Stegostoma tigrinum: one gene and its partners. The protein of the gene in region 2 purifies or fractionates together with the protein of the main gene of each other region. This does not show direct contact. Links are inferred from orthologs where the notes say so. Each region holds a gene or a part of one and is shown on either strand. Other genes may lie near its edges. The genes, in order: pak1, rhoub and nck2b.

Region 1 (9,720 bases), on a different chromosome or scaffold from region 2:
AAGTAAGTGTTATATTGTCAGTTTTCCAACCCTTTGGGATTTTTCCAGAATCTGAGGATTCCTGGAAGATCAAAAATCAGTGCATCCATTGTCCCTGCAGCTACGTTCTTTAATATCCTAAAAGGTGTATCCCATCTTGGTCTGTGATTTTGCCTAATCTATGTCTTTGCTGAGAGCCATGAAAGATCTTCTTATACACCCACCATTGTTCCTCCACTGTCTTCACTGTTAAAACTTCTTTGACGTCAGGGATGATTAGCTTCATCCTTTTCGGAACAGAGAAGGTTAAGAGAAACTTGAATTTAAAAGATGAAAGGTTTTGTTCATAGGACAGAAGTGCTTTCATTGGATAAGTAAGGGAAGAGGAGAAACTGTTTTGGAAAAAGAAAATTCTTCCCCGTTACTTTCCTATTAGAAGCATTTCTCCGACTAAGAACAAAACCTTTCATGGCAATGGACTTCTCTTAAAATTTCTCTTCACCTTCTTTGCTCCCCAATGATTAAAGCTGTTCATCCTGTCACCAATTCTTAGAATTCACTTCCCAGCAATATCAACTTTTTTTTTCTAAAAAATGTCACTCTTAACATCATAAAACATTCCGAGATGGTTCACTTGAGCATAAAACAATATTATTGATATCATAAGGAAATAGGTCAGGCGACTAAATTATGGTCAAAGAATTCTGCTTTTGGTAGTGTCTGAAAGACAAAGTCTGAAGTGGGAAGAGGTTTAGGAAGCCCTAGAGGTCAGGATCCAGGCATCTGATGACGCAGCCACCTATGTAAAGAGGTTAAAAACAGTGATCGTCACAATATCAGAATCGGAAAGGTTCAGAAATCTTGAGCATTCACGGACCGGGAGGAGATTGCAGAGGTAGGGACATGTGAGGAGTCCCTAGAGGGATTTGAAAACAAGGAAGAAATGTTAAAAACAGGATGTAATTTGAATGGAGGTGAGTCAATTTAGGTCAGTGAACGCAAATAAAAATAAAAATGCTGGAGAAACAAGACAGGTCTCACAGAATCTCTGGATGGATGTTGCAGAGAAACAGACAGGGAAAAACCAGAGTTAAGAAAGAAGTGAAGCAAAGTATTACTCAAACTAAAATGTTTAGCTGTTTCTCTCTCCACAGATACTGCCAGACCTGCTGAGTTTCTTTCTGAATTTATTTCAGATTTCCCGCAGCCGTAGTATTTTGCTTCTATTTTAGTGAACTTAAGATTGACAGGGGAATGTGACTTTCTGCAAGTTAACACATGAAAGCAGGTTTTTCAGGGCTCAGAATAGGAGAGACATGGCTTTGAGGTAGTTTCCTTAGCTCCAGACTAGAAGACCCAGGTTCAAGGCACACCTGCTCCTGAGTTATTCAATAACATTGCTGACCAGGTTGATTGGAAAATATCCAAAATGTGGAAGACCAGCTAGCAGTGTGTGGAATAAAAGTGTCTAGAAGTAACAAAGAAGGGATTTTACAGCATGTTGTGAAAAGGATGCTTCCTCATGGGAGAATCTAAATGTAATGGGTCATAGAAATTCTACAGTGTGGAAACACTGTTTAAAGATACAGGGTCACCATTTCATAGCAGGATCATAAACTCCCTTCTGTGTGGAAGCAGACCACTCGGCCTATTGAGTCCACACTGGCTCTCTGAAGAGCATCCCACCCACACCCAGACCCCAGCCCCCTACCGTATCCCCGTGAGCCCACATACCCTTGTACACTATGGGCAATTTAGTAAGGCCAAACACCTAGTCTACACTGTGGGAGGAAACCCATGCAGACAGTAGGAGAATGTCTGTGTGGAGTTTGCACAATCGCCCAAGATTGAAATCGAGCCCGGGTTCCTGGCGCTGTGAACCAGCAGTGCCACCGTGCCACCCATTTAAGTCAGAGCCAAAGAGAAATATTTCTGAGTCACAGGTTTTTTGGAACTCTCTTCATTTAAAAACTGTAGAAGCAGATCATTTGAAACTTTTAAAGACAGACATGGATAAGGTTCTTGCTAAGGACAGGGGTGAGATATTATTGGGGGTAGGAAGGTGGCGTAGTCATTGTTGACTGGCAGAGCAGACATGCAGTGCTGAGTGGTATAATCTTGCTCCTAACCTGTAGGTTTGCATGTAAAGTCATTAAGGGCCTCAGCAGAGGAGGTGAGACAGTGACCACATTGAGCAATATCACAAAGATTAAAATCAGTGGTCCATGCAATGTCTGTACAGTGGAAGCAGACAAAATGGCAACTTTCAAAGTTGAATTGGATAAACACTTCAAGGATAAAATGTGCAAGGCTTCAGGAATTGAACAGGGAAGTGAGACTAGTCAGATAGCCTTTTAAAGAAGTGACTAGCTCCCTTTTGTAGTGTATGACAACAGTGCCAAACTCATCCAGGCCGTGCTCAAATCAAAAGCAGCAAATTATTTAAAAGGGACAAAGTGGAGAGGGAGAAATTATCTGAAGGGTCTTGACCTGAAATGTCAACTTTCCTGCTCCTCTGATGCTGCCTGACCTGCTTCATTCCTCCAGCTCCACACGGTGTTGTCTCCGACTCCAGCATCTGCAGTTCTTGCTATCTCCTAGATTTACACAGGATATCTGGTTGGCATGGACAAGTTGGACCGAAAGGTCAGTTTCCCTACTGTGTATCTCCATGACTCTAAGTGAACCTTGCTGAAATGAATGCGATTTGGCAGGAGGGCATATAAAGAAGCAGCTCCATTATCTGTCACACTAGGAAGGAATCACCAGCCCACCGTCCCCCACTGCATCAATAATGCAAAGTGGCAGACAATTAAGTAACTGCAAAATCTGGACTTGCATATTTGCCATAACAATGCCTCCATCTGAAGCATTCAAGAGCGTAAAACAAGTAACAAAAGGGACATTATTTTGTAGTTTCATTCATCAGGAAAAGAAGAATGGGTAAAAGACAGGAAAAGAGTCTGAACAATGAGACATTTCACGTAGGGCTTTATCCTGAAAATGCTCTTAATACAGTGCACTGTGAAGATGCTCTCCACTAATGACATTCAAAGTCAAAGAGGTCGGAGACACAAATGGATGAGGTATCATAGTATACAGCACAGAAACGTGTCTGGAACCAGAGTATCATTGATAAATAACAGTCACATCAGGAGGAGTTTTACTTTCCAACTACAAAAAGGTCTCAGCAAATCAAAAAACCACAATCAGCACTCTGGAACAGACCTTAATATGGAAGCTAGCAATATAGTTGAACACAAGTATTTAGTCCAAAAATATTACACCAAGAAACTAATTGTAACATCAGCAGAAAAATATAGAAGGATGTGAAAGTCACCACCGAAGAGTGCAGCAGAAGCAGATTGAAATTGTGTATTTCAAAAGGTAATGGGTTAGTATCTGAAGAGGAATAATTTGCAAGGCTATTTTGGGAAAGGGACGCGAGTGAGAACAGGTCGAATAGCCTGCTTCTATGCTGTATCTATTCCAACATGCCACAAACGTAAACAGTATCACTTCAACGGGATTTGGGACAGACAACAAAGCTGTTAGATGAAAAGTATGCAATCAAGGAGATAATGCAAGATCTTTTATCAACCACAGGTTAGGTTGGACAGGGCTAGGGTACTCTCGTCCTAGAGAATGGGCTAGAAATGATACCAAATGAGTGAGTGAATCTTCTTCTACGAAGTAACTGGAGGATCTGTGATTGCACGGCTATGCAGAGGAGGCTGGCTGAGATATGAAAGAGGGAATCAAAATTATGAAAAAGTTTTTAAACTGAGTCAATAAGGAGAAAGTGCTTCCAGTGGTAAGAATGATCACTGAACACGAGACACATTTGACAACGGAAAATTGGGCAAAAAGAAAACGATGAAAGCATTTATTACCTAAAATTAGAACGAAAACAGAAAAATAAATTCCCGAATGACTTAGCTAAAAGGGCCGCGTGGAAACAGCAGGGAAATCAGGACAAATTGGACAACTCCGCCCAAGGGCTAGTACGGGAGAACTGGGCGGAATGGCAAGGGTTTTCAGAAGCACACGACATTCTACTCGCGGCCCGCGCGCCGTTTCCATAGTGATGGTCGCTAAGAAACGGGTAAGGGGGAAAAGCAGTGGAGGAGGCCGCGCGCGGTTGCCCCGGTGACGGTTGCCAGGAGCCCGCCGTTACCCTGGCGACGGCTCCCTGGGAGCGCGCGGTTGTCCCGGAGACGGTCGCCAGCAGGCGCGAGGCGGGGCCGGTTCGCCAACGTCCCTTGGTTGGACGGTTCGAATCTGCCGTTCGAAGTCAGTTAGGGTGAAGGAGGAGGAGGGGAGCCGAAAAACACGTTCCTCACCTCCCGCCGCCCGCTGACGAGAAGCTGGGTAAGTGGCCTCGTTCGCTTCCAAATGTAGTCTCTCGCGATGTCGCTGTGATCCCGGCGGCGCTGCTGGTTTGTTCTTACGCTCTGTTTCTATCCTTCACTCCCCGCTGCCCGGTGCTGGATGCCGCTCCTCTCGTTGTCAGGCCGGCCGGCTCAACCTAACCTGCCTAGGTCCGCCCCACGTGTTCCTACTTCCTATTGGTCCCCACGCCCATAACACCGGCTTCAGTTGGCTGTAACCCACGTCAATCAAAGACCATCCCCGCCCCCTCGTCACGCAGGTTTGATTGACGAGTGGACCGGAAGTGGCTTCGCTTCATGATCAGCGCATTACATCATTGCAGTTTCTTAAAGGGCCAGGGCAGTGGGTGTGTTTTGAAACTATTCCTCTCTGCAAGAATTTAGGCTAATAGCAGAATGGTGCAGGTGCTGACATTCGCAACCATCTGTAGGAAAATTCACCAAAGATCCTGCAACAGCACTTTCAAAACCCACAAACATACCAAAGAACTGCAGATATTGGAAAGCAGAAACAAAGACAAAAACTCAACAAATCTGGCAACAACTGTGGAGAGAAGCAGAGTTTTCAGGTCCCCTGACTCTTCTTCAGAACATTTCAGTTCCCCTGACTCTTCTTCAGAACATTTCAGTTTTGTTCCTGAAATAATTGCACAGAGGCCAGTGTCCTATCACCAAGTCGTCCCGAATTTACCTGTATCAGAGATAACTGCAGATGCTGGAGAATCCGAGATATCGGGGGGCTGATTCTGAGCTGGCTGGCCACAGCCGACCGTGCACAGGTAAATTCGGGATAACAAAGTGTGGAGCTGGATGAACACAGCAGGCCAAGCAGCATCTTAGGAACACATGTTCATCCAGCTCCACACTTTGTTATCCCAAATTTACCTGTGCACGGTCGGCTGTGGCCAGCCAGCTCAGAATCAGCCCCCCTGACCTGAGGAGATTCTGAATCCCCCGTTAAAATTGGTCAGCTAGTGGCTCCTGATTGGCCCAGTTTAAGAACCACAGTCAAGGTACTCATAGTCAACAAGGTCCATCTGGTCCAATCACTAGAGTTCCCTCAAAACTCACAACCAGTTCCATTGTGAAGGACGAGAGCAGCAGATACATGGTCACACCACCACCTACCAGGTCCCCTCTAAGCCACTTGCCATCCTGATTCAGAAACATATTGCTGTTTCTTCAGTATCACTGAGTCAAAATTCTGGGATTCTCTCCCTAACAGTATTATGGGTCAACCTACGAAAATGAAGTGCAGTGGTTCAAGCAGACAGCTCATCACCACCCTGTGATGGGAAACTGGGGATGCACAATAAATGCTGGCCCAGCACAAGTAAATAAAAAAGAAAATCTGATGTGAACAGTTTGTAATGGAATTATTCGCTAGGTCTAGGAACAGAGTTGACATTTGATCAATAACCCTGCATTATCATGGTGGAAGATTTGCAGGACAGCAGTCTTGCCATGTAGACAAAATCAGAAGTCACATGACACCAGGCTATAGTCCAACAGGTTTATTTGAAATCACAAGTTTTTGGATGGCTGCTCCTTCATCTGACTGAGATTCATAGAATCCCTACAGTGTGGAAACAGGCCATTCAGCCCAACAAGTCCACACTGACTCTCCAAAGAGCATCCCACCCAGACTCACCCTCATAACCTATTCCTGTATTTCCTATGGCTAATCCATTTAAATTACACATCTCTGAACACTATGGGCAATTTAGTAAGGCCAATCCACGTAACCTGCACATCTTGGGGAGGGAACCAGTGCACCTGGAGGAAATTGACACAGACACAGGGAGAATGTACAAACTCCACACAGACAGTCGCCCAAGGCTGGAATTGAACCCAGGTCCATGGTGCTGTGAGGCAGCAGTGCTAACCACTTAGCCATCGTATCGCCCACCCCAATCCAACACCAGCACATCCACATCATTGCCAAGTAGACAAAGCAATGGTTGGCAGGACTACACCATCGCCATAGTGACAGCTGCCACTAGTTGTGGGTCCAGGCAACTTTGCCAGTAGTTAATAAAGTGTGAAGCGGGATGAACACAGCAGGCCAAGCAGCATCTCAGCACAAAAGCTGACGTTTCGGGCCTAGACCCTTCATCAGAGAGGGGGATGGGGTGAGGGTTCTGGAATAAATAGGGAGAGAGGGGGAGGCGGACCGAAGATGGAGAGAAAAGAAGATAGGTGGAGAGGAGAGTGTAGGTGGGGAGGTAGGGAGGGGATAGGTCAGTCCAGGGAAGACAGACAGGTCAAGGAGGTGGGATGAGGTTAGTAGGTAGGAAATGGAGGTGCGGCTTGAGGTGGGAGGAAGGGATGGGTGAGAGGAAGAACAGGTTAGGGAGGCAGAGACAGGCTGGGCTGGTTTTGTGATGCAGTGGGGGGAGGGGATGAGCTGGGCTGGTTTTGGGATGCGGTGGGTGAAGTCCACATTGATACCATTGGGCTGCAGGGTTCCCAAGCGGAATATGAGTTGCTACCCCCTTTGTCTGTAGGAAGTGGGAGGAATCGAATGAGAAGTTGTTGAGGGTGAGGACGAGTTTGGCTAGGCGGATGAGGGTGTCAGTGGAGGGGGGCTGGTCGGGCCTGCGGGACAGGAAGAAGTGGAGGGCCTTGAGGCTATCTGCATGCGGAATACAGGTGTATAGGGACTGGACGTCCATGGTGAAAATGAGGTGTTGGGGGCCAGGGAATTGGAAGTTCTGGAGGAGGTGGAGGGCGTGGGTGGTGTCACGGACGTAGGTAGGGAGTTTCTGGGCCAAAGGGGAGAAAATGGAGTCCAGATAGGTGGAGAATAGTTCGGTGGGGCAGGAACAGGCTGAGACAAAGAGTCGACCAGGGCAGGCAGGTTTGTGGATTTTGGGAAGGAGATAGAAACGGGCCGTGCGGGGTTGGGGAACAATGAGGTTGGAGGCTGTGGGTGGGAGGTCCCCTGAGGTAATGGGATCATGAATGGTGTTGGCCTGCCCTGGTCGACCCCTACAGCAGGGGCAAAAGCAGGAGCGTGTCCTGGTCAGCAAGAACCAAGTAGTAGCTGTAGTGCAACGGTTTCACCTTGCTTTAAAGAAAATCTAGATGCAGTTTCTTGCCATGGTTGGACTATATATAAAACCATCCTCCATGAATGGGCATCAGATCTTGCTTCTGTACATGAAATATTTGGGCTTACACTTTGGCCATCAGGCAATACAGAAAGGGTTATCTTTCAGACATTAAACTGATGCACTGTCTGTTCTCTTGTAGATCTGACAGATACCATCGTTCTATTTTGCAGACGAGCAGAGGATTTCACCCTAGAAGGCCTTCTTGATCAGTAGTTACTGACCTGATGTACAACTCTGTTTCGTGTTCCACTGATACTGCCTGCCCTTCTGTGTTTCCAACATTTTTGTTTTCGTTTTCAACTTCTAGCATCTGCAGTATATGAACATACAAGTTAAGAGCAGGCAAGGGCCAATCTTGCCTTGAGCCTGTTCTGTCATTCAGTAAAATTGTTACTGATGTAATTGTCCCCTATACCCATCAACCCCAGATAAATATCCTTTTGCTTAACAAGAATCTATCTACTTCTGTCTCAAAAATATTCAAGAACTCACTCCCACAGTCTTTTGAAGCAGTTTTCCTGTATTTTACTACTGTTGCAGTTAATCCTCACCATCCAGCACTCAACGAACAATGCTGAGACAAACTATGTGAGCTGTATGTCAATGCTGTTTGTAGGAGATACTTGTGTATACGGCATTTGGGTTCAGGACAGCTATTTATACCACAATACAAACAATGGAAACAGTCCTTCAAATATATCTTGTTACCAACAAAGAATATTGGGATGATATTCTGAAAGACTTTGTAGAAAATCCAAGTGCTTTCTGATGGAAAGGTAAAAATATGTAGTGTTCGAATAACTTTCATGTAAATCGCTTTCCTAATTACTTCTCGTAGGGAGAATGTTCAATAGAAACCAGTGGTGATTACATTAAGGGATTTTCAAACTCCTCACATGTTAGTCTTGGCAACTACTGCACCAGGTTGAGCTCTTGTACAACTGAGGCAACTTTATTAACTTTGCAATTGGTCAGTTGCTCAGAACCTGAAGATCGTTGTAAAGAAAGACGCATTACCAAAGCTTTGCATTGCTCTCATCGATAAACAGATACCTATGATATTACCACTGATTTGTACCAAGAAAGGATAGATCAGGGTTTTTTTTAAAAGGCACGAGGTTAAATAAAGAGTCCAACAGGATTTGGGGGTTTAGATACATAGCACTATAAAATGTACGAACAGGCACAGAAAATGGTCAACAAGGCCAATGGAATGCTGGCCTTCATATCTAAAGGACTGAAGTATAAGGACACAGATGTTATGCTGCAGTTGTATACAACTCGAGTCAGACTCCATTTAGAGCACTGAGGGAAGTTTTGGGCATCGCACCTTCAGAAGGATGTTTTGTCCCTGGTCAATGTAGGTTTCCAAATATGATACCTGGATTTCAAGAGTTAACTTTTAAAACAGATTAGACAAATTAAGCCCATATTCCCTAGAATTTAGAAGGTTAAAGGGTGATCTAATTGAGGTTTTCAGGATATTAACAGGGAAAAACAAGGTAAGCAAAGAAAAACTATTTCCACTATTAAGGATTCTAGAACGGGGAGGCATAGAATAAGAATTTGTTGAGACCATTCAGGAGAAATGCTTGAAAGTATGCAAAGAGGGTCGGGACCGTCTTCCTCAAGTGGTGGTCAGTGCTAATTCAGTTGTGAGATTTAAATCTGAGATGAATACACTTTTATTAAGCAAGAAGATCAAGGGAAATGGGCCCAAGGCAGGCATATGGAGTTAAACCACAGATCAGCCATGATCGTTTTGAATGACAGAGCAGGCTCAAGGGGCTGAATGGCCTATTCCTGTTCCTATGTTAGTTCCCTTCTAACCACTCACTAACCTTCTTTGGACCTATATTGCAATTCCTTCACTGTCAGTGGGTCAATATCCTGAAACTCCCTGCCAATCAGCATTACACCTCAAGAACAGCAATGGTTCAATAAATCATCTCTCACACTACCTTCTCAAAGACAGTAACTGCTGGTCCAGCCAGCAACAACTACATCCCAAATAAAAAGGAAGAATGCCAAATTTCGTGGCATTTTTGCATATTTCTTGACAATTGCAAAATGAAAATTTTGGCAACATACCTCTGTCTTCACTAAATTTGCAAAGTATTTTCCAATAGTGCTATTTCTAAATCAGCAAAAATTATATCTATTCAGGCTGCATTTGTGGCTGACATTTTGCTGCATTTTCAGATTTGCCATCTTTTCGCTAAGATGTCATCCTG
Region 2 (10,470 bases):
ACTAGCACCTTTGATAGGCCACCTGACCACCTGTGTAATGACCCACCAAGTCCTGGGGTGGGACCCAGGCCTGGAACCTCGGACCCAGAGGTGGGGCCGCTTCCCCACCTGCCTGACAATCTCGTGATACAGCCATGAAAGATTTTGATGTCAGCGTTGGGACTTTGAAATTGTGGCCGCTAGGTTATGTGCAGCAAGATCCCATAAACTGCAGCTGGCTCCGGTGACCTGTTGCTGTTTAAGGGAGAAATGCAGCACGGTTACAACACACAAGACAGCCATTCAGCCTGTCAAGTTTTTGGTGGTTTTCTGCAAGATCAACTACCCTAGCCCCACTCCCCATGCCTTCGGTCCTCAGCGTTCTACATTCTTCCTTTTCAGATACCTGTCTGATTTCCTTTCGAAAACTACAGACAAACCTGCCTTGGCCATACCCTTGGGCAATGCCTGTGTCAAGGACAGGCAGTAACAGCATCTAAATGCCACTTTATGAGTGAATTTGAGGCTGATGGCCAAGTGGGGTAGGGGATGAGGAATATGGGTTCAAATCCCACCATGGCGAGAAATGAATTCGATAAAAGTCTGGAGGTAAAAGCCAGCCCAATGTGCTGACCACATTGACCAGTCGTAAAACCCCATCTGGTTCACCAATGCCTCTCCTAAACCAGTCTGGCCTGCATGTGACCCCAGATCCACTCTGATGCAGTTGACTCTCAACTGCACTCTGCTGGACGTGGGCAACTAGTGCTGGACTAGTAGCCTGCGACATCCTACAAATAAGAATGCATCAAAAATAGATGTTGTTTCTTTTGCCTATCACCTTAAACCTGTGCCCCCACACCCCCAACTCTTCCAACCCCTGTACTGCTGAAGTATAGAACACTGGTTCAGTCTCAACTAGAGTATTGTGTCTAGTTCCATGTGATGTGAAGGTATTGGATCCCAGTGTAGAAGAGCCTTACAAAAGCAGTTTCCGAACTTTGGTTACATATGCACTTCGGAGAAGCTGGATCCAGGCAGCACCCCCCCCCCCCCCCACCGCCCCCCCCCCCCCACCCCAGGACAGAGTCAATGTTGAGACGAGATGCCAAATCTTCAGATATCAGGATGGAACAGTTAAGGAAAATCTTTTCATATTAGCTGATGATCCAAGACTGACAGAAAACACTGCTTTAAATCTGGGGCGAGAGGTGGGCAGGGAATTGTAAACAGAATCTTTTGACTTAGCAAGCGATAAGGACATCGAACTCAGAGATAGTAAGAGCTGCCGATGCTGGAGTCAGAGATAACCCAGTGCGGAGCTGGATGAGCACAGCAGGTCAGGCAGCATCAGAGGAGCAGGAAGACTGGCGTTTTGGGTCAAGACCCTTCTCCAGAATTCTCAGGGAAGGGCAGCAAAGGATGACACATGGTTTCAAAAGGAAATTGGGTGGGATCTGGAGGGAAATGGATTTTCAAGTCTACGGGGATGGACCTGGGAAATGGGAGTGTTCTGAGCTGAGTTAGCATGGGCTCGATGGGCTGAATGGGCTGCTTCCAGATGTTCTACAACAGATTATGGTTGTCACATCAATTTCAGCGACACAAATTGTTATCTCTGAAAATATCAGCCTTGAGAACATTGAAAAGTGGTAACGGTTATTGGTTTCTCCCATAGTTAAGGGGGCATTTAGCACGTTTGCCTTCATTGCTCAGACCTTTGAGTATAGAAGTTTGGACGTCATGTTAAGGTTGTGAGGGATGTTGCTGAGGCCTCTTCTGGAGCACTGTGTCCTGTTCTGATCACCCTGTTATAGGAAGGATATTGTTAAATTGAACAGGGTACAGAAGAAATTTACCAAGATGTTGCCTGAAATAGAGGATTTGAGATATAATGAATAGACTGGAGAGACTGGGTTTTTTCATTGGAGCGTAGGACATTGAGGAGTGACCTTCTCGAGGATTATAAAATCATGAACAGCATAAGTAAAGCGAAATACAAGGACCCTATCCTTAGGGGAGGGGTTTCAAGAATAGGGGCATATCTTTAAGGTGAGAGGAGGAAGGTTTTAAAAAAGGACATGAGGAATGGTTCGTGTGCGGAATGAACTGCCAGAGGAAGCAGTGAGTGTGGGTACAGGTACAATGTTTATAGGGCATCTGGATAAGTCTATAAGTAGGAAAGGTTTGCAGGGATACGGGCCAAGCACAGGCAGGTGGGACTAGTTTAGTTTGGGATTATGGTCGGCATGGAGGTTCTGTTCCCATGCTGTACAACTCTATGACTCTATAACTGATAACTTACCCAACTCGCAATAGCTGTGAGAAATTAATCAAAAGAGATCTACTGTGACCAATTATAAAGATATCAGCACGGGAAATGGTGAACTCAGTGAAGTACATCTGCCTGGAATTTCCTATTTCTGAATATCTGTAACACACAGGGATGGATATAAGTGACCTCATTCATGCCAGCTATGGTTTCATCCATGGAACAGTTCCTCATTGTCTTCTTATCAATCATTTTATTCATTGGTGGGATGTGGGTGTCTCTGGCTGGACCAGCATTTATTGGCCATCCTTGGTCATGCTTGAGAAGGTGGCGGTGAGCTGCCTTCTTGAACCCCTGTAGTCTGTATAGTGTAGGGGCACCCAGGATTTTGACCCAGCGAAACTGAAGGAATGGCGATATATTTCCACGTTACGATGGTGAGTGACTTTTTTTTAAAATGTAGAATGTCTACAGTGTGGAAACAGCTCCTTCGGCCCAACAAGTCCACACCGAACAAAAACAGAAGTTGCTGGAAAAGCTCAGCAGGTCTGGGAGCATCAGTGAAGGGAAAAAACAGAGTTAACGTTTCAGGTCCAGTGACCCTTCCTCAGAACTCCACACACCTACCCTTGGACCATCCCACCCAGACCCATCCCCCTATAACGCACCTAACCTGCACAACTGTGGTACCACAGGCAATTTAGCACAGCCAGTCCACCCTGACCTACACATCTTTGGGGAGCACCCAGAGGAAACCCACACAGACACGGGGAGAATGTGCAAACTCCATACAGATTGTTGCCTGAGGGTGGACTCGAACCCAAGGAACCTGGCATTGTGAGGCTGTGGTGCTAACCACTGAGTCACTGTGCCACCCTACAAAACCAAAGTGGAGAATGGAGGCATTTGGAGGGGAACTTACAGGGGGTGGTGTTCCCATGTATCTGCTGCCCTTGTCCTTCTAGGTGGAAATGGTTGTGCGTTTGGAAGGGGCTGTCTGAGGATCTTTGGTGACCATTTGCCATACGTCTTGTAGATGGTACACACGGCTGTTACTGTGTGTGGAGGGGGTGGATGTTTGTGGATGTGTTGCCATTCAAGCAGGGGCTGCTTTGCCCTGGATGGTGTTCAGCTTCTTGAATGTTGTTGGAGCTGTCCCCATCCAGGGCAAGTGGGGAGTATTCCCTCACACTCCTGACTTGTGCCTTGTAGATGGTGGACAGGCTTTGGGGAGTCAGGAAGTGAGTTACTCACCACAGGATTCCTGGCTTCTGGCCTGCTCTTGTAGCCACTGAGTTAATGTGGTGAGTCCAGTTGAGTTTCTGGTCAATAGCATCCCTCGGATGTTGATGATGGGATATTCAGGAATGGTAATGCCATTGAGTGTCAAGGGGTAATGGTTGGCATTCTATTTTTATTCATTCACGGGATGAGGGCATCGCTGGCTAGGGCAGCATTTGTTACCCATCCCTAATTGCCCAGAGGGCAGTTAAGAGTCATTGCTGTGGGTCTGGAGTCACATGTAGACCAGAACAAGTAAGGATGGCAGTTTCCCACCCTAAAGGGCATTAGTGAACCAGATGGGTTTTTCCCGACAATCAACAATGGATTCATGGTCATCATTAGATTTTTAATTCCTGGTATTTATTGAATTCAAATTCCACCATCTTCCATGACAGTATTTGAACCCATGTCCCCAGAACATCATCTGAGTCTCTGGATTAACAGTCCAGCGACAATACCACTCGGCCATTGCCTCCCCTCACCTGCCTCCCCTTACCTTCCTCCCCTGGATTCTCCCTTGCTGGAAATAGTCATAGCCTGGCATTTATGTGGCACTTACTTAAATGTCACTTGTCACTTGTCAGCCCAAGCCTGGATTTTGTCCAGATCTTGTTGCATTTGAGCACGGACTGCTTCAGTACCTGAGGAGTTACAAATAGTGCTGAATATTGTGCATTCATCTGCAAACATCCCCATTTCTGACCTTATGATGGAGGGAAGGCTATAGATGAAGCAGCTGAAGCTGGTTGGGCCTAGGACACTACCCTGAGGGATTCCAGCAGAGATGGCCTGGAGCTGAGATGACTGACCTCCTGTAACCAGCTCCCTTTGCGCCAAGTGTGACCCAAACAGTTGAGAGTTTTCCCACCTCATTGTGCCTTGTAGATGGTGGACAGGCTATCTACATTGGCACCAGTTTTTCTCCAGCTCCTTGATGCCACACTTGGTCGAATGCAGCCTTGGTTTCAAGGGCTGTCACTCTCACCTCACCTCTGGAATTCAGCTGTTTTGCCCCTGTTTGAACCAAGGTTGTAATGAGGTCAGGAGCAGAGTGGCCCTGGCGGAACCCACACTGGGCATCACTGAGCAGGATATTGCTGAGCAGGTGCTGCTTGATAGTACTGTTACTGACACCTTCCATCACTTTATTTATGATCAACAGAAGACTGATGGGGTAGTAATTGGCTGGGTTGGATTTTGTGTACTGAACATACGTGGGTAATTTTCCACATTGTCGGGTAGATATCAGTGTTGTAACTGTACTGGAACAGCTTGGCTAGGGGAGCGGCAACTTCCGGGGCACAAGTCTTCAGTACTATTGAGGAATGTTGTCAGGGCCTGTAGCCTTTGCAGTATCCAGTGTCTTCAACTGTTTCTTGATATCACATGGAGTGAATGGAATTGGCTGAAGACTGGTAACTGTAATGCTGGAGACCACTGTGGGAGGCTGAGATGGATCATCCACTCAGCACTTCCGGCTGAAGGTTGCTGCGAATGCTTCAGCCTTATCTTTTGCACTGATGTGCTGGGCTCTTCCATCATGGAGGATGATGTGGGAAATGGTAACGTGAGATTGAAGAGCAAACTGAGAGAATCAGCCAACACCACAGGGTGGATTATAGAAAATAATTTCCATATAATTTGATACTGTATTTGTAGATACAATACAAATACAATATTTGTATTAGTCCTAAACTCTGGGTGATCACCAAAATCATTTTGACGGGAAAAAAAATCACTTTAAAAAGTTTTAGCAGAACTTTTCTGTTTCTTGATTTCCATTCATATATCAGTGGAATATGTGGATTGGAATCATTGCTACCGTTCTGAGGAGGAATCAGAGACTAGAATCTAATATAAATCAATGAATTTGAAAGGTAAACAAATGAGTGAGAGAGAAGGTAAATGAGAGAGAGAAGGGGGGATAATTAATGAATCAGAAAGAGAGCAGGTTGAAGAGCACAAGAGAGCAGGTTCAGGACTGAGAGTGCTGGTTAACAGAACAGAAAGCATAGATTAAAGAGATAGAAAGAGAAGGTTAGAGGGTGGGAGAGAGATAGGATAAAGACTGAGAATACAGGTTACAAAGTGCAACAGAGAGCAGGTTAAAGAATGAGGGAGAGCTGATTAATGAAGCAGAAAGTGGAGATTAATGAGGTAGAAAGTGCAGGTTAGAGAGCAAGAGAGCTAGCAGAATAAAGACTGAGAGAGCAAGCTATAGACTGAGAGAGAGGGTTAAAGACTGAGAGAGCAAGCTATAGACTGAGAGAGAGGGTTAAAGACTGAGAGAGAGGGTTAAAGACTGAGAGAGCAAGCTATAGACTGAGAGAGGGTTAAAGATTGAGAGAGAGGGTTAAAGATTGAGAGAGGGTTAAAGACTGAGAGAGCAAGCTATAGACTGAGAGAGGGTTAAAGATTGAGAGAGAGGGTTAAAGATTGAGAGAGGGTTAAAGACTGAGAGAGCAAGCTATAGACTGAGAGAGGGTTAAAGATTGAGAGAGAGGGTTAAAGATTGAGAGAGGGTTAAAGACTGAGAGAGCAAGCTATAGACTGAGAGAGGGTTAAAGACTGAGAGAGCAAGCTATAGACTGAGGGTTAAAGACTGAGAGAGCAAGCTATAGACTGAGAGAGAGGGTTAAAGACTGAGAGAGCAAGCTATAGACTGAGAGAGGGTTAAAGACTGAGAGAGCAAGCTATAGACTGAGAGAGGGTTAAAGACTGAGAGAGCAAGCTATAGACTGAGAGAGAGGGTTAAAGACTGAGAGAGCAAGCTATAGACTGAGAGAGGGTTAAAGACTGAGAGAGGGTTAAAGACTGAGAGAGAGGGTTAAAGATTGAGAGAGGGTTAAAGACTGAGAGAGAAGGTTAAAGATTGGGAGGGGATTAAAGAGTCAGAATGAACAGATAATTGGATGAAAGAACAGGTCAGAGAAGGAGAGAGGTTAATGAGTGAGAGACCAGGTTAATGATTGAGAGAACTGGTTCATGAGTGAGAGTCAGCAAGTTATTGAGCAAGAACAGTCTATTGTACAGCCCCATTTCGATTCGGGGTGCAGAATGGGTGGTGTAGTAATGTTGGCAATTTTTTTTTTAAATGTCACTTTTCCCCTCAACCCTACACCTTCCTCTTCAGCGTTTCACCTGTGATGCTGAGCTGTCCCTTTAAGGGGTGGAAGCTGTGTGGGAGGTGCAAATGTTGCTGAGTTCTGTATCTACCCGTTTCAAGGGAGGCGGTGACTACCGGGTGAGAGGTTTATAAAACGAACAGTGCGGGGAGAGAGAGAGAGAGTGTTTGAAGTGTGTGGTTTAGAGGCGGAAAGAAATTAGGCTGTTGTGGGGCCGATTTGATTACTGATCGCTCCCCCCCACCCCGTGTCAGTTTCAGTGAAACTGATAGGACGCGGAAAAGTTTTGCCCAAACTTTTCAAAAATTATTTTTCGTTTTTTCTTCCCCTTCAAATGATTTTGGTGGTCCTCCAGAATTTGGAACTAACTTCCTAGGTGTTTTTTTTTGCCCGGTCTTGTGGGGGATTTTTGTTTTCTTTTGAATTTTGAAAAGAAAGGAAGTGAAACATCTCTCTCTCTCGGTGTGAGAGACGGCGATGCCCCCCCAGGACTTACTGGACTATCGCGCGGGCTTCGCACCCCCGGTGCCCCCGCACAAACCCAAGCGCAGCGGCCGGGCTGCCCGCACCCAGGAGCGGTTCCTCAAGTGCGTTTTGCTCGGAGATGGAGCGGTTGGCAAAACTAGTTTGGTGGTCAGCTACACCACCAATGGTTATCCAACAAAATATGTACCCACTGCCTTTGACGATTTCTCCGGTAAGCTATAACTAATCACTTCAGAGCGTTTTTAAACACGAGAAACTTTTGTATATTTAGTCCTTCAAGAACATATCTATGGGCTGAAGGGTCGCTTCTCTAATGTGTGATATTATGTATATGCATTTATGTATCATCATTATGCATATTCATGTGTGCACACGTTTCCTGTATATGCTATACTAAAAGTTTTTAATTATAATTTTAAATGAACTCGAGTTTTATTTTTCAGTCAATTGCAGATTGCCATTCCATTCCAAACATGCACCAAAAGACTACGAGCTGATTAAGATTTTGTTAGCATGGTTACAGGGTTGTCTATGGGACGACAAGTGTGTGTGAGAGAGAGAGTTAGCGTTAGCCCTGGGGGAGCAGGCTTGCACTGGGTTCCAGTGTTGTATGTTTTCACTGTTTCGAGTTGTACCGCTAACGCTGAGGACTGCATTTGGGGGTCTCAGCGTTGTTGGTGGGACGTGGAAAACTTTCAGATGGGAGGGCTGAGTGTGACCCTTGGATAATTGTAGGTAAAGTGAACTTGTGCACTGTCCCCCATCAAGCACTCCTAGGGCAGGGACAGCACAGGGTTCGATACAGAGAAAAACTGATAGTTTTTGTACAAAATCTACCCAATTTGCTATTTCACCCCTTGGATTCGAGGCATTGTAGTACAGGAAGAGGCCATTCAGCCCATTGAGTCCATATCCACTCCCTCCCATCAGCCCCATTTCCCCCTCCCCCTCTAATCACTCTGTCTCTTCACTCCCATGGAGAGTGTTTGTTAGTTTTATCTGGTGTTGCACAAAGACCTGTGTGGCCCTGTAAACGGAGCTACTAACCTTGATCATTTTTAATGACCTGGTTGTTATCGATACTGCATTTAGAAAGATCCCATAAAGGAGGGAAAAGGGCAAGTGGGAGAAACATGGGAGAGAGAGAGAGGGAGGGAGGGGTGGGGGCTGAGAATGATCAGGAGGTAGAGTTGAGATCATGTTACATCAGCTTATTAAGAGTCTAGTTTGAAGGACTGTTGGCTGATAGTAAAACTGAGAGAACTGTACTGTTAAGTGTCGGAAGAAAGCAGTGCAGGGAGCAGGGAGAAGGTGGAAGAGAATTTATTTCACTTCAGATCAAAAGTCAATTTGCAATGTATTATTTGAGAAGGAAGCAGCTATTGGAACAGAAGAATTGGATAAATACTCAAAAGGATTTGGGGGGAGGGGGGAAGCATAGAGGGTGAGGAATGATCTGGAGAGCTTTCAGTGAGCTAGCAGGCATGATGGGGCTGAATGGCCTCCATCTGCACTGTTAGATTTTCAGTGAATGCCAAGACCACAAGACAGGAGCAGAATTTGGCCATTCAGCCCGTTGGGTCTGCTCTGCTGTAATTGAATGGTTGGTAGGTTTCCTGACCCTCATTCCACACAAGATTTCCTCTGAATGCACAGGTGTCTAATTCTGATCTGGAAAATGGGAATACCAATGGAGACAGGGAGAGGGAGGAGGAGAGTGTGTATTGAGGTGGGGGAGGGGGGTGGTTTCCTTAATTCACTTTATGGGATGTGGGTGGCCACTGGCTAGGTCAGGATTTACTGCACATCCTTAACGGCTCTGAGGAAAAGGGTCCTTGGAGTGAAGGGAGTTTTGGTGAATACAGTTGTGCCGTTTGTCTCCAAGATCAAACAGTGCAGAATGAGGAATTGGGTCGAGAAAGAACAATGTGACAAACAGAGATAATGGGAACTGCAGATGCTGGCGAATCCAAGATAATAAAGTGTGAAGCTGGATGAACACAGCAGGCCAAGCAGCATCTTAGGAGCACAAAAGCTGACGTCTCGGGCCGAGATGAAGGGTCTAGGCCCGAAACGTCAGCTTTTGTGCTCCTGAGATGCTACTTGGCCTGCTGTGTTCATCCAGCTTCACACTTTATTAATGTGACAAACATCAGGTTTTTGCGACCCTGGTTTAGGGGATAAGTGTTGGGACAAAGCCCCTGCTTTTTCTTTGGAAAAGCTCCGCAGGCTCAATTCCTTTCTCCTGAGCATGCAGCATTGCCTCCAAAAGCCAGTACCTCAGACAGTGTGGCACTCCCTCGATATCGCCTTGCATGTCAGCCTAAATTTTGGTTTCTAAACCCTGAAGTGGGACCCGAGCTTCAAGCCCTGCTATTCAGACACTCGACAGTTCCAGGGAATTCATCAGCTGCATGAGGCAAGACATTCAGGAGAGGGGAAAGACAGCGTATTTAAACAGACAGATTTTTCCTGTGTACAAGCCTGGGCTCCCTGGAGGTGAGGGAGGGGAATGTCTATTATCTGAATGATGCCTCACCTTCCCCAGCACTTGTCCCTTTCTGTTAATATCTATTGTTTGTGCACTTCATGTCCAGCAATTTGACAATGGAAAAACGCCTGAACGTATCTCTTTGTTTGAATCCTGTTTTTGTTTCCACTAAAATAGATACTTTTCTGAAAGTATCTAACCTCTGGAGTGTAATCGCTGACCTTGCATCCTGTCTCGATGCCAACATTGTTTTAGAGAGACAAGACAGCATTTCAATGTCTGTCGTGGGTTTTTTGTTTTTTGTTTGCTACATGATATCAGTGCTCACTCCTGGAGTCCTCCACAGGGTTACAACTGTATACAGCCTTCTGACCTCGTCTAAACTGTACTAAATTTCATTCCAGTGACAGACCTGTACCCATCAGTACTGTACCCCAGTGTTATACAGTGACAGACCTGTCCCCACTGGTACTGTACCCCAGTGTTATACAGTGACAGGCCTGTCCCCCACCGGTACTGTACCCCAGTGTTATACAGTGACAGACCTGTCCCCCACCGGTAGTGTACCCCAGTGTTATACAGTGACAGGCCTGTCCCCCACCGGTACTGTAACCCAGTGTTATACAGTGACAGGCCTGTCCCCCACCGGTACTGTAACCCAGTGTTATACAGTGACAGACCTGTCCCCCACCGGTACTGTACCCCAGTGTTATACAGTGACAGACCTGTCCCCCACCGGTACTGTACCCCAGTGTTACACAGTGACAGACCTGTCCCCCACCGGTACTGTACCCCAGTGTTACACAGTGACAGACCTGTCCCCCACCGGTACT
Region 3 (10,244 bases), on a different chromosome or scaffold from region 2:
CTACCTGCACTCACCTATCATCATTCCACCTACCTTTCCCAGCCCCACCCCTCTTCACTATTTATTTCAGAGCTTCGTTCCCTTTCCCCCATTTATGAAGAAGTGTCCCAAACCAAAACGTCAACTTTCCCACTCCTCCGAATCTGTCTGGCCCGCTGTGCTCTTCCTGGTCCACACTGTCATCTACGACTCCAGCATCAGCATCTCCGAGACTTGCTTTCAGTCAATTTTCTTTCACTTGGAACATGTAGAATAACAGACAGAAACTAAAACATGCATTCTTTAACTTATTTATTGTCATAATTGAGGCATTGTGTGTTTTTCTAAAAAACAGGAGTTCAGTCTAGTTCAGCTTTAGGTAACAGTGTATGTCAAGCCATGGTAAACCTTGATAAAGTATTTGATATTTCAATTTAAGCTAAAAATCCAAGAACGGAATCTCAAAAGTATCTTGAGCCAATGCAGAGATTACAGACATTTAAAATTCAGGCAATGTTGCAGTTAAATCAAAACTCCTAATTTGAAGATGAATGACATTTTGTCATCATAATTTCTATAATGGAGCACGTCATTTTTATTAATTTATATTACTGCTGGCCACCACATGGCAAACAATTAGGATATGGTTAATGGCAAATATAGTCTTACTCTGTATTAAAGATATTTATTCTTACAAATAGTTAATACACTCTCTTCTGATACTCTGAATTGAGACTGTATATTCAATCTTCATTTTCTACAAGATGTATGGGTACAAACATCCTGTGGGCACCTTTCCTATGTACCAGGAAAGACCATAACCGTTTGAGCAAGGTACATCAGACGAGACAATGAGATAAAATACAAGATGGGGTCTGGGACTGACCTCTCGAGTGTGCAGATCCATGGGTCACAACTCAGCAGATAACAATGATTGAGTGTTGTAACTTTGATGATCATTTGAGAAGCATTTGTGCTCACTGCAGATTTTGATAAAAATTGCCAACAAAGATCTAGTAAAATCTGTAGCACGAATTTATCATTTCCAGACATCAGTTGATTCCGGTGCCAAGCCAAGGGGACTGGTAGGTGTCCGAAAACAATTATGTCATCAAGCAGAGTAAACCACCAAACACACTAATATTCCCACAGATCACAAAACTAGTGAGTAAAATGTACTAAGATAATAAAATGTGAGGCTGGATGAACACAGCAGGCCAAGCAGCATCTCAGGAGCACAAAAGCTGACGTTTCGGGCCTAGACCCTTCATCCTATGGATGAAGGGTCTAGGCCCGAAACGTCAGCTTTTGTGCTCCTGAGATGCTGCTTGGCCTGCTGTGTTCACCCAGCCTCACATTTTATTATCTTGGAATTCTCCAGCATCTGCAGTTCCCATTATCTCAGTAAAATGTATTACATGCTTTCACTTATAAATAAAATTTTAGACGTCAAATGATTGATTGGCCCAGAAACGTGTGTTTAAAATAGAAGCTCAACTGTAAACATTCAATATATTTTTTAAAAAAGCAAAATGATGAAATTTGACACTCAATACAGAATTCATTTTTTTTCCCCCAGGGATAAGATGCTCAGAAGTAGTTATTAAGTAAACTGTTAAAAACTCAGTTATGCCTCATTCAAAAAAGAATTTTCAAGGCTATTTTACAGTGAAATTAGCAGCATAAGAAAATGAGTTTTGTTAATTCAGTGATTTTTACTTGTTACAATCTGGGGTCACATGTGTTCTACAGGAAAGCATAGCGTCACTGGCAGCAATTGTGAGATTCCTGTATTTAACTGCACAAACACACTCCAGAAGTTGTTAGTTTCAATGTCATTATTACAGTAAATCTGGGACAATGCAAGCTGAAATATAATGCAATTTCATGATGTGCCTATAAGCCTTTAGGTCAGCAAATAGTATGTTACAATCCCTATTAGATTAAGATAAAGAAAGCAATTTTAGGGAATTTAAGATTTTATTCTAGGTGCTCCCAGTTTTAAAACTATGAATTAACAATATGAATTGTTGTTATTTTAACCATATGCTTATCGTTAACACTCAAATGGCTTCATGAAACAGAATTAAGCTAGAAAACAGTGACATGCCATCCAAATTCATAATCTCAAAATGCAGTTTTGATAGTTTTAAATATTATTTGACTGAACATCTGATAATGCTTTTAATAGAGATCAAAATTGCAAACCTCTCCACAAAACTGCTTTGCTTCAATACTTATGATTTTTGCATAAATTAAATACTGAAGTCACTTAAACTCATGGAGCATCCATAGACCATGAGTGAAAAGAAACTTCTAAGCTATCGGCACTCCTAGATTGCAAGAGTTTTCACATCCTGAAATGCAAAATCTTTCACTTACATGTACCACAATCTCATTGCTAGTTTGAGGAACCACCTACATGCAAAGCATTTAACTGTCAGATTTCTACAAAATCTCATGCATCTCTTGAGATTAAGCACACAAAGCCACTAATTTTGTTGTTTCACTGGCTGAGAATACAAAAAGGGAATGGCCACAGAAGCTTGAATTTAAGCAAACAGCTATACAGACCATAACTGCACGGGCTGAAGATCCAGTCTTTATGAATTCCATTGCAAGCTATACTGGGAAAGGCAAATTAGGAATCATTGCTCTCGACTTCTTGAAATGCAAATTCCTCCTTTAAACACTGAGAAGACCAAAGGCATTACTTTGGACCTCTCTATAAGCTCCCTTCCCTCATTACCAGCTGAACGTAGCCCTCCTCAGCAAGTATCTGAAGCTGGACTAGTGTTGGGATCTCAGGTACCATACTTAACCTCTTCATCATGAAGGCCATCTTACACATACCTCTGTAACTCCTGTCTCAGCTGACAGTTCGAAATACTTATCCATGACATTACTACCCACATTGATCATTCATTCCAACATTCTCATATACTGCCTACTTTCTACCTCTTATCATAAACTTGAGCTATTGAGCATATCCATACTTGCATTAAATTCTAAATGCCTATCACTTCAGAATTTTAAATTCTGATTCTTATGTTCAGATCACTCCACAATCATTTACCTCCCCAATCTCAGTAACTTCTTCTAATTCTACAATGTTCTAAGAATTTCAGGCTCTTAAAGCACTTTCCCATTGACTTCATTCCACTATCAATAGTAATGACCTCAACTGTCTAAATACTACTTTCAAATTCCCTCCACAGAACTCTCAATGGCTTTTTACTGCTTTAATTCTCTCCATAAAATCTATTTCTGGGCTTAGTGTCTATTATGTTCCTGTGAGACACTTTGGGAGATATAGAAATGCAACTGCTGGAGTGTAGATGCTGGATCAACACTGTGTTGAACTACATTGGAAATAACTGACCAACGTGACATCTTGCCAACTATTAAAATCCAAACACAAACTCAGGAAAGTTCACAGAGGCACTTGTGAAACTAACTGTATCTCACCAGTAAGAAATAAAGGATTGCGGAGACGAAATTAAAATTAAAAAGAGAGGAAAAATAAAGCATGCATGTGGTCCAAGAGGTTCAAAAATGGACATAACTCGTTTGCTATCAAACCATCAATCCGGAATACAAAGCGGGTAGTGTTTAATGCATCAAAAAATTGGAAATCACAGCCCAACAAGTAATGTTAAAGCTCTGCTTCGTCAAGAAGGAAAAAAGAGAAGGAAATGGTCCATGTGAAGGAAGTTGTACTTTTTGGAGGTGGTGTGTTGCTTTTGTCTTTTTTTTCCTGAGGATGCTGCTTTCTGCTCTGCTCCGCACCTGAATGGTTACTGGGAAGCGAGGAGCCTCCAAGTTCGCCCAGTGACAGTTGTTGCCCGTCGCTGCCCCCCACCAATTACACCCCGGGCCATGCGCCATCGTGTACCGGGGGCAGGGCCCTGACACCGAGGCCGCCACCGCAGCGGCAGAGCCGGCAGCCCGCAAGCACCAGCACTCACCTCCGGCCTCTCCCGCTCTGCTCCTCTTCTCCAACGACTGTATATATCGTCCGTCCTTTTTTCCACTATCTCCTTTTCCTGCCAACGACTCCGAGCAGCCTCGATTCTCTCCTTTGCCCCCTCCTCTTCTTCTTCTTCTTCTGCCTCCTCTCTCGATCCCGATCCCGATCCCGATCCACTCTCCTCCCCGGATCACAGCAAATGGAATACGCCAGACGTGGCCGAGTGCGCAGAAGCAGAACCGTCTTTCCCCCGTTCCATCGCTGGGCAGGGTGCGCATGCGCGATGCCGTCCGTTTGCCCAGCGCTAGCTAAAAGGGAGGAGATGTTCGGGAACCGGCGAGTATTCCCTTTTCTTGGGCTTGCAATACATTCCTGATGTCTGTGTGTGGGGAACGCCATTTGCTGATCAATGCTGACCCCTCTTTAAAACTTCACCCAATTTTCTTCGACAGAATTCACACATGACACTTGCAGAGTTCTTCTGATTGTATCCCATACTAATAAAAGTTAAATTATTGTTTCGAAAGATGCAAATCCGAGGTGAGGAAGAAAACTTTTTCACCAAAGTCTTGGAAATCACTAGCTGAAACTGTGGCGGAGGCAGATTCAACTGCCGTGGTCCAGAGTATGATTATCTAACTATATATAAAGTGCACGGTAAAGAGGAAAATGTAGTAGTTTGACAGTAATCCAAAATGGTCAGAGAGCTGGAACAGCCACGATGGGTTGAGTGGCCTCCTGAATGGTAATAATTTTGTAATTCTGAATTGGACTTGGTGTTTGTGTTTCCCTTATATTGTAGGAGATTCAAAGAAGTCTCATTTGAATAAAGTTAGACTTTCACCTAAAGTTCTGCAGAGCAATTGGTTTAACATTTTTAAAAATTCTGAAACCTGGCTGTTAACACTCAGAATGTAGGAAAGCTCCACTCATGTGAATATTAGATATAGTAGAACTGGCTCTGGTGCCAATGAAATTTGTGAACAATTTAATGTAGAAGTTCAGACCTTTTGCCAATTGTTCAGTGGTTAAGTGAGTTGCCTGTTTTGGTACTGGGAACATAGAAGCAGGATTGGACCAATTTGCCACCATAAGTCTGTTCCACCATGCAGTTTGCTCATGGCCAAGTTTCATCTTGACTCCTTCGACCTGCAATTTTTCATAATTCTTAATGTATTTGCCTAAGAAATTTCAGAAATTTCAGTTTTAATTTTTTTACTCAATCTAAAAGGCAGAACGCCTGAATAATTTGCTTCTATATTGAGTTTTTAACACACCCCAATATTCAATTGTATTACTCTGCTATGAACATTGCTATCTTCAATTCATTGTCAAGCAAGATCATTTTCATTGCCATGATACACAATGTAATCAACAAAAGTTTGAAATAATCACACTTTTACACACAGCACGCTGGAGCTTTTTTTAAAATGTATTTTGTGCTGCAAGGTGTTCAATTGTTGCTTAATACCTGACTGTAGTACAGTAACGAATGATGTGGCATTCTGGATATACATGCCCATAACAATTTGCTTGCTAATTTTTTATTATCAATGTAATAACATAACACGTAAAGTTCATGGAAAGAAATAATAATGTTCAATGAGAAGCAGAACTGTTGTATGTGCAGGATTTCCTTATTCTTCTAGATTCAGTTTTTTTGGGACATGAGCTGTTACCTTGAGTGGACAAAATGCATAATGTAATTTTTAATACACTACAACCCTGCGTCTCTTGGTAAATGAGAATTGTTTTATGTTTTGAATGGTTTGTTTACAGGACATCAAACAATAACCTGAGCACAATGTGAACTTTCAACTCGGAGTAACATCTATGACATGTTTTAACTTTTCTGTTAATGTAGCAATGCTGCTAGTCATATGCAATGAGATTAAAGATTTGTTCACCAACTTAAAATAGTTCCCGTTGTGGCTTCCTGTACATTGGGGAAACCAAGCGGAGGCTTGGGGACTGCTTTGCAGAATACCTCCGCTCGGTTCGCAATAAACAACTGCACCTCCCAGTCGCGAACCATTTTAACTCCCCCTCCCGTTCCTTGGACGACATGTCCATCATGGGCCTCCTGCAGTGCCATAATGATGCCATCCGAAGGTTGCAGGAACAGCAACTCATATTCCGCTTGGGAACCCTGCGGCCCAATGGTATCAATGTGGACTTCACAAGCTTCAAAATCTCCCCTTCCCCCACTGCATCCCAAAACCAGCCCAGCTCGTCCCATCCCCCCACTGCATCCCTAAACCAGCCCAGCTTGTCCCCGCCTCCCTAACCTGTTCTTCCTCTCACCTATCCCCTCCTCCCACCTCAAGCCGCACCCCCATTTCCTACCTAGTAACCTCATCCCGCCTCCTTGACCTGTCCGGCCTCCCCGGACTGACCTATCCCCTCCCTACCTCCCCACCTATACTCTCCTCTCCACCTATCTTCTCCTCTATCCATCTTCCGTCGGCCTCCCCCTCTCTCCCTATATATTTCAGAACCCTCTCCCCATCCCCCTCTCTGATGAAGGGTCTAGGCCCGAAATGTCAGCTTTTGTGCTCCTGTGATGCTGCTTGGCCTGCTGTGTTCATCCAGCTTCACACTTTGTTATCTCGGATTCTCCAGCATCTGCAGTTCCCATTATCTCTGATCACTTTGTAACTTACCACTTAATTACGTCTTTTTATCAAAATTAGAATATCGTCTAAAGTTAGATGTGGTTTCGTTTAGAAGAAGTACAAAGGGATCTGGAAGTGCTAGTCCAGGATTCTCTAAAAGTTAACTTGCAGGTAGAGTCCGTGATTAAGGAAGCGAATGTAATGTTGTTGTTTATCTCAAGAGGGTTGGAATATAAAAGCAGCGATGTGCTTCTGAAACTTTATAAAGCTCTAGTTAGGCTCCATTTAGAATACTGTGTCCAATTTTTGGCCCCACACCTCAGGAAGGACATACTGGCCCTGGAGCGTGTCCAGCGGAGATTCACGCAGATGATCCCTGGAATGGTAGGTTTAACGTATGACGAATGGCTAAGGATCCTGGGATTGTACTCATTAGAGTTTAGAAGGTTGATGGGAGATCTAATAGAAACTTAGAAGATAATGTATGGCTTAGAAGGGGTGGACGCTGGGAAGTTGTTTCCATTAGGCGGGAAGATTAAGACCCGTGGGCACAGCCTTAAAATTAGAGGGGGTAAAATTAAAACTGAAATGAGACAACATTTCTTCAGCCAGAGAGTGGTGGGCTTGTGGAATTCATTGCCACAGAGTGCAGTGGAGGCTGAGACGTTAGATGCATTCAAGGCAGAGATCGACAAATTCTTGATCTCACAAGGAATCAACGGCTACGGGGAGAGTGCAGGGAAGTGGAATTGAAATGCCCATCAGCCATGATTTAAATGGCGGAGTGGACTTGATGGGCTGAATGGCCTTACTTCCACTCCTATGTCTTATGGCCTAACTCATGCTTTTTTATCTGAGTTGTCAATACCTAAGTCAGAATCAACATTTGCAAATAGTGTTTTCAGTACTTTGAAATATGACACATTTCATGGGATGATTTGCAAAACAGGCTTATCAGTGATCATTGATCTTTTTATATTGGCCACAAGAAAATGTCTGCATGTCATAAAGAGCTTTGTGCTTTCTAAATTGGCCATCACATTTCACCAGCACTTTATCTCCTGGTTTACATGGTCTGAATTGTATGGATCACGCTGTACTTATTTATATTTAATCCTTTGGTTCTTGATTGTATTCACATATGGCAGGCCAGTCTTCAGAGTGCTCGGTTTCTGGATTTCTCAATTGAAAAATAACCAGCAGCATGGTTTAAACAAGATAAAAGGTGATTTGTTCAACGAAAGTTATTTTGTTAAAATGTGATAAAAAAAAGTTATTGGCTAATACACTGATGCAAAGACTCAAGGTTAGTAAGGGTAAAAATTATGTCTGAATATGAAAATAAGGTTTGTTTCTCTTATCGCTGCAGGCATGGCTTGCAAGGTGTTCTCTAAACAGGTTGAAAACTTGGAGTCAGTTTCAGCATCTGTGAAGAACGGAATAGAACAGATCCTGGCAGTGAGCACAGACTGCTTTGTTTCACTTTTGTTGTCCTGCAGATTCAGACTCTTGACAATCTGATTTAGTATAACAATCCTGGATACCACCCTATGTCTCCATTTTTGTCTTCAGAAGATTCTGTTGAGATCTCAATGCAATGGGTGCTCACTTGTACACAGTTCAATATGTCAAAAAGACTGCCATCCCAAATTGTCAAATTACTCTTCCATATAGGCAGCACAGTGGCTCAGTGTTTAATATAGCTGCCCCCCAGTACCAGGGACCCAGGTTCAATCCCATCGTCAGGAAACATTCTCCCTATGTAAGCGTGGGTTTCCTCCAGGTGCTCCAGTTTCCTGCTATGGTCCAAAAATATGCAGGTTGGGTGGATTGGCCATGCTAAATTCTCCATAGTATCCAGGCATATGCAGCCTACATGAGTTAGCCATGGTAAATGCATGGTTACGGGAATGGGGTGGGCAGACAGGTCTGGGTGGGATGCTCTTCAGGGATCAGTGTAGCCTTGATGAGCCAAATAGCTTGCTTCTATAGTATAGGGATTCTATAATTAGACATTGGATTTCTCCCTTGGGAACATTTTTTTTGGTTAAAGTAATTTGTTTTATACCTATTTCAGCCATTAGTTTGGAAGGTTCTTGTTCTGTCAGATTTTTGGTGACATAGTAAAGTGATTTATATTGCCAGGCAAGCCACTGAAATTACTTTTTGTTTACATTTGAAAATGCTAACTTCAAAATAGTCAATTGAGGAGCTGTGCTTGCCGAGTAATTGCAAATAAAATGATAGGTCTCCTGCTTCCAAAACTTGTTCTCATCAAGTCACTTTCTTAAAGGTACACAGAATTTTCTTGACCTCTCCATTAGCTCTTGGAAACAAGGGTTTTTGATGAGTGAAGTCCACATAATTTACAAATTTATCAAACTCATTGCTGTGAAATGGAGATCCATTGTCACTTCTCACCATTTGAGGACCACTAAAACAAACCAAAAATCTCATTAAGTTTTGGGATGATTGCCTTCATTGAAGTAAATGTAACTATTTCCAACATTTAGAATCTGCTGTGATCATCAGTAATGACAAGTCAGTGTTCGCTAGTGTGCAAATCTAAAATCAACACAGCACCAGACGTAGTTGCGATGGTGAGTTTATTTCAAGCAATGTGACGACTTTGTAACATGTGAATAATTTCATTTGTAGACATTTACAATCACGTTTTTCAGCTTTTGCTTATGTAGTCATCATGCACAATGCAATGCTTCACCTTTTGTTGCTGCTTTGATGTTAGCAAATTTTGTCCCACACATAGGCTTATGTAGTTAAGGTATTTGGCAAAGTTTTCTTCATGACTAGTAGAACATCCTATCTACCTCTACCATAAAAATATTTAAGACTCTTCTTCAACATTCTTTTTAAGAACAAGATTGCCAAAGACTCATGACCTTCCATAAGGCAGAAAAAGTTAATCTCTATCTTAAACCAGCAACCCCTTAATTTAGAAAAAGACCCCAAGTTCTAGATTCTCCGACAAGGTGAAACATCTACTCCACATGGACTCTGTCAAGACCCCTCAAATTCTTACATGTTTGAATCAAGTCACCCGTATTTTCCAAACATCAATGGATTCAAGCCTACCCTATCCATATAAAACAACCCTCCCTCTCCAAGTAGTAGCCTAATCAACAGACAGTGAACGTCCCTTCATCCAAATCATTTATAAAAATGATAAAATTTTGAGGGCCCAGCACTAATCCCTATGGCACACATTACATCTTCCTGACCAGAAATTACCATTTGCTTGCTTTCTGTTTCCAGTTCATTAGCCAATCTTCTACCCATGCCATAAAATCACCACGAACCTTTATTTCCACAGTGACGTTGGAATACATTCGGTATTTTCTAATCTAAAGGCAAGTATCTGGGGAAATTTGGTTAGTTAGAATGAAAACCAAAATATTCACCCCATAATTCAAAAAGTAGCCTTCAAGAAAATCTCAATAACAGCTCTCGAAAAAAAGAATTGCTTTGACCCCTAATATAACGATAAATTACCTGGATCTTCCATGAAGTAGCAATCATTGTTGAATTTCAACTCTGCTGGAATCTTTCTGTGCCACAATCCCGCTCCGTGTTTTTTGCAGAGTCTTCTAGAAATATACAACAGTATTGCAGGGTAGACTGAGCACACCCCTTTTTATGAAACAATCAGCTGTACAGTAAGT

Evidence for each region.
Region 1: the proteins of rhoub (region 2) and pak1 purify together in Homo sapiens (co-immunoprecipitation; 5 studies listed by BioGRID and IntAct, with this or other methods). This does not show direct contact. The link is inferred for Stegostoma tigrinum from reciprocal best matches to the Homo sapiens genes RHOU and PAK1.
Region 3: the proteins of rhoub (region 2) and nck2b purify together in Homo sapiens (co-immunoprecipitation; 3 studies listed by BioGRID and IntAct, with this or other methods). This does not show direct contact. The link is inferred for Stegostoma tigrinum from reciprocal best matches to the Homo sapiens genes RHOU and NCK2.

Annotation. Positions count from the first base shown.
Region 1 is NC_081359.1:105,734,280-105,743,999, reverse strand, and holds the start of pak1 (serine/threonine-protein kinase PAK 1), read right to left. Parts: upstream 4,531-9,720; 5' UTR 4,323-4,530; exon of another isoform or gene 4,196-4,322; intron 1-4,195. UniProt on the Homo sapiens protein: Protein kinase involved in intracellular signaling pathways downstream of integrins and receptor-type kinases that plays an important role in cytoskeleton dynamics, in cell adhesion, migration, proliferation, apoptosis, mitosis, and in vesicle-mediated transport processes.
Region 2 is NC_081392.1:10,788,967-10,799,436, forward strand, and holds the start of rhoub (ras homolog family member Ub), read left to right. Parts: upstream 1-6,565; 5' UTR 6,566-7,137; coding exon 7,138-7,357; intron 7,358-10,470. UniProt on the Homo sapiens protein: Binds to and activates protein kinase PAK1. Plays a role in the regulation of cell morphology, cytoskeletal organization and focal adhesion assembly during cell migration. Also stimulates quiescent cells to reenter the cell cycle.
Region 3 is NC_081359.1:64,797,985-64,808,228, reverse strand, and holds the start of nck2b (cytoplasmic protein NCK2b), read right to left. Parts: upstream 4,064-10,244; 5' UTR 3,948-4,063; intron 1-3,947. UniProt on the Homo sapiens protein: Adapter protein which associates with tyrosine-phosphorylated growth factor receptors or their cellular substrates. Maintains low levels of EIF2S1 phosphorylation by promoting its dephosphorylation by PP1.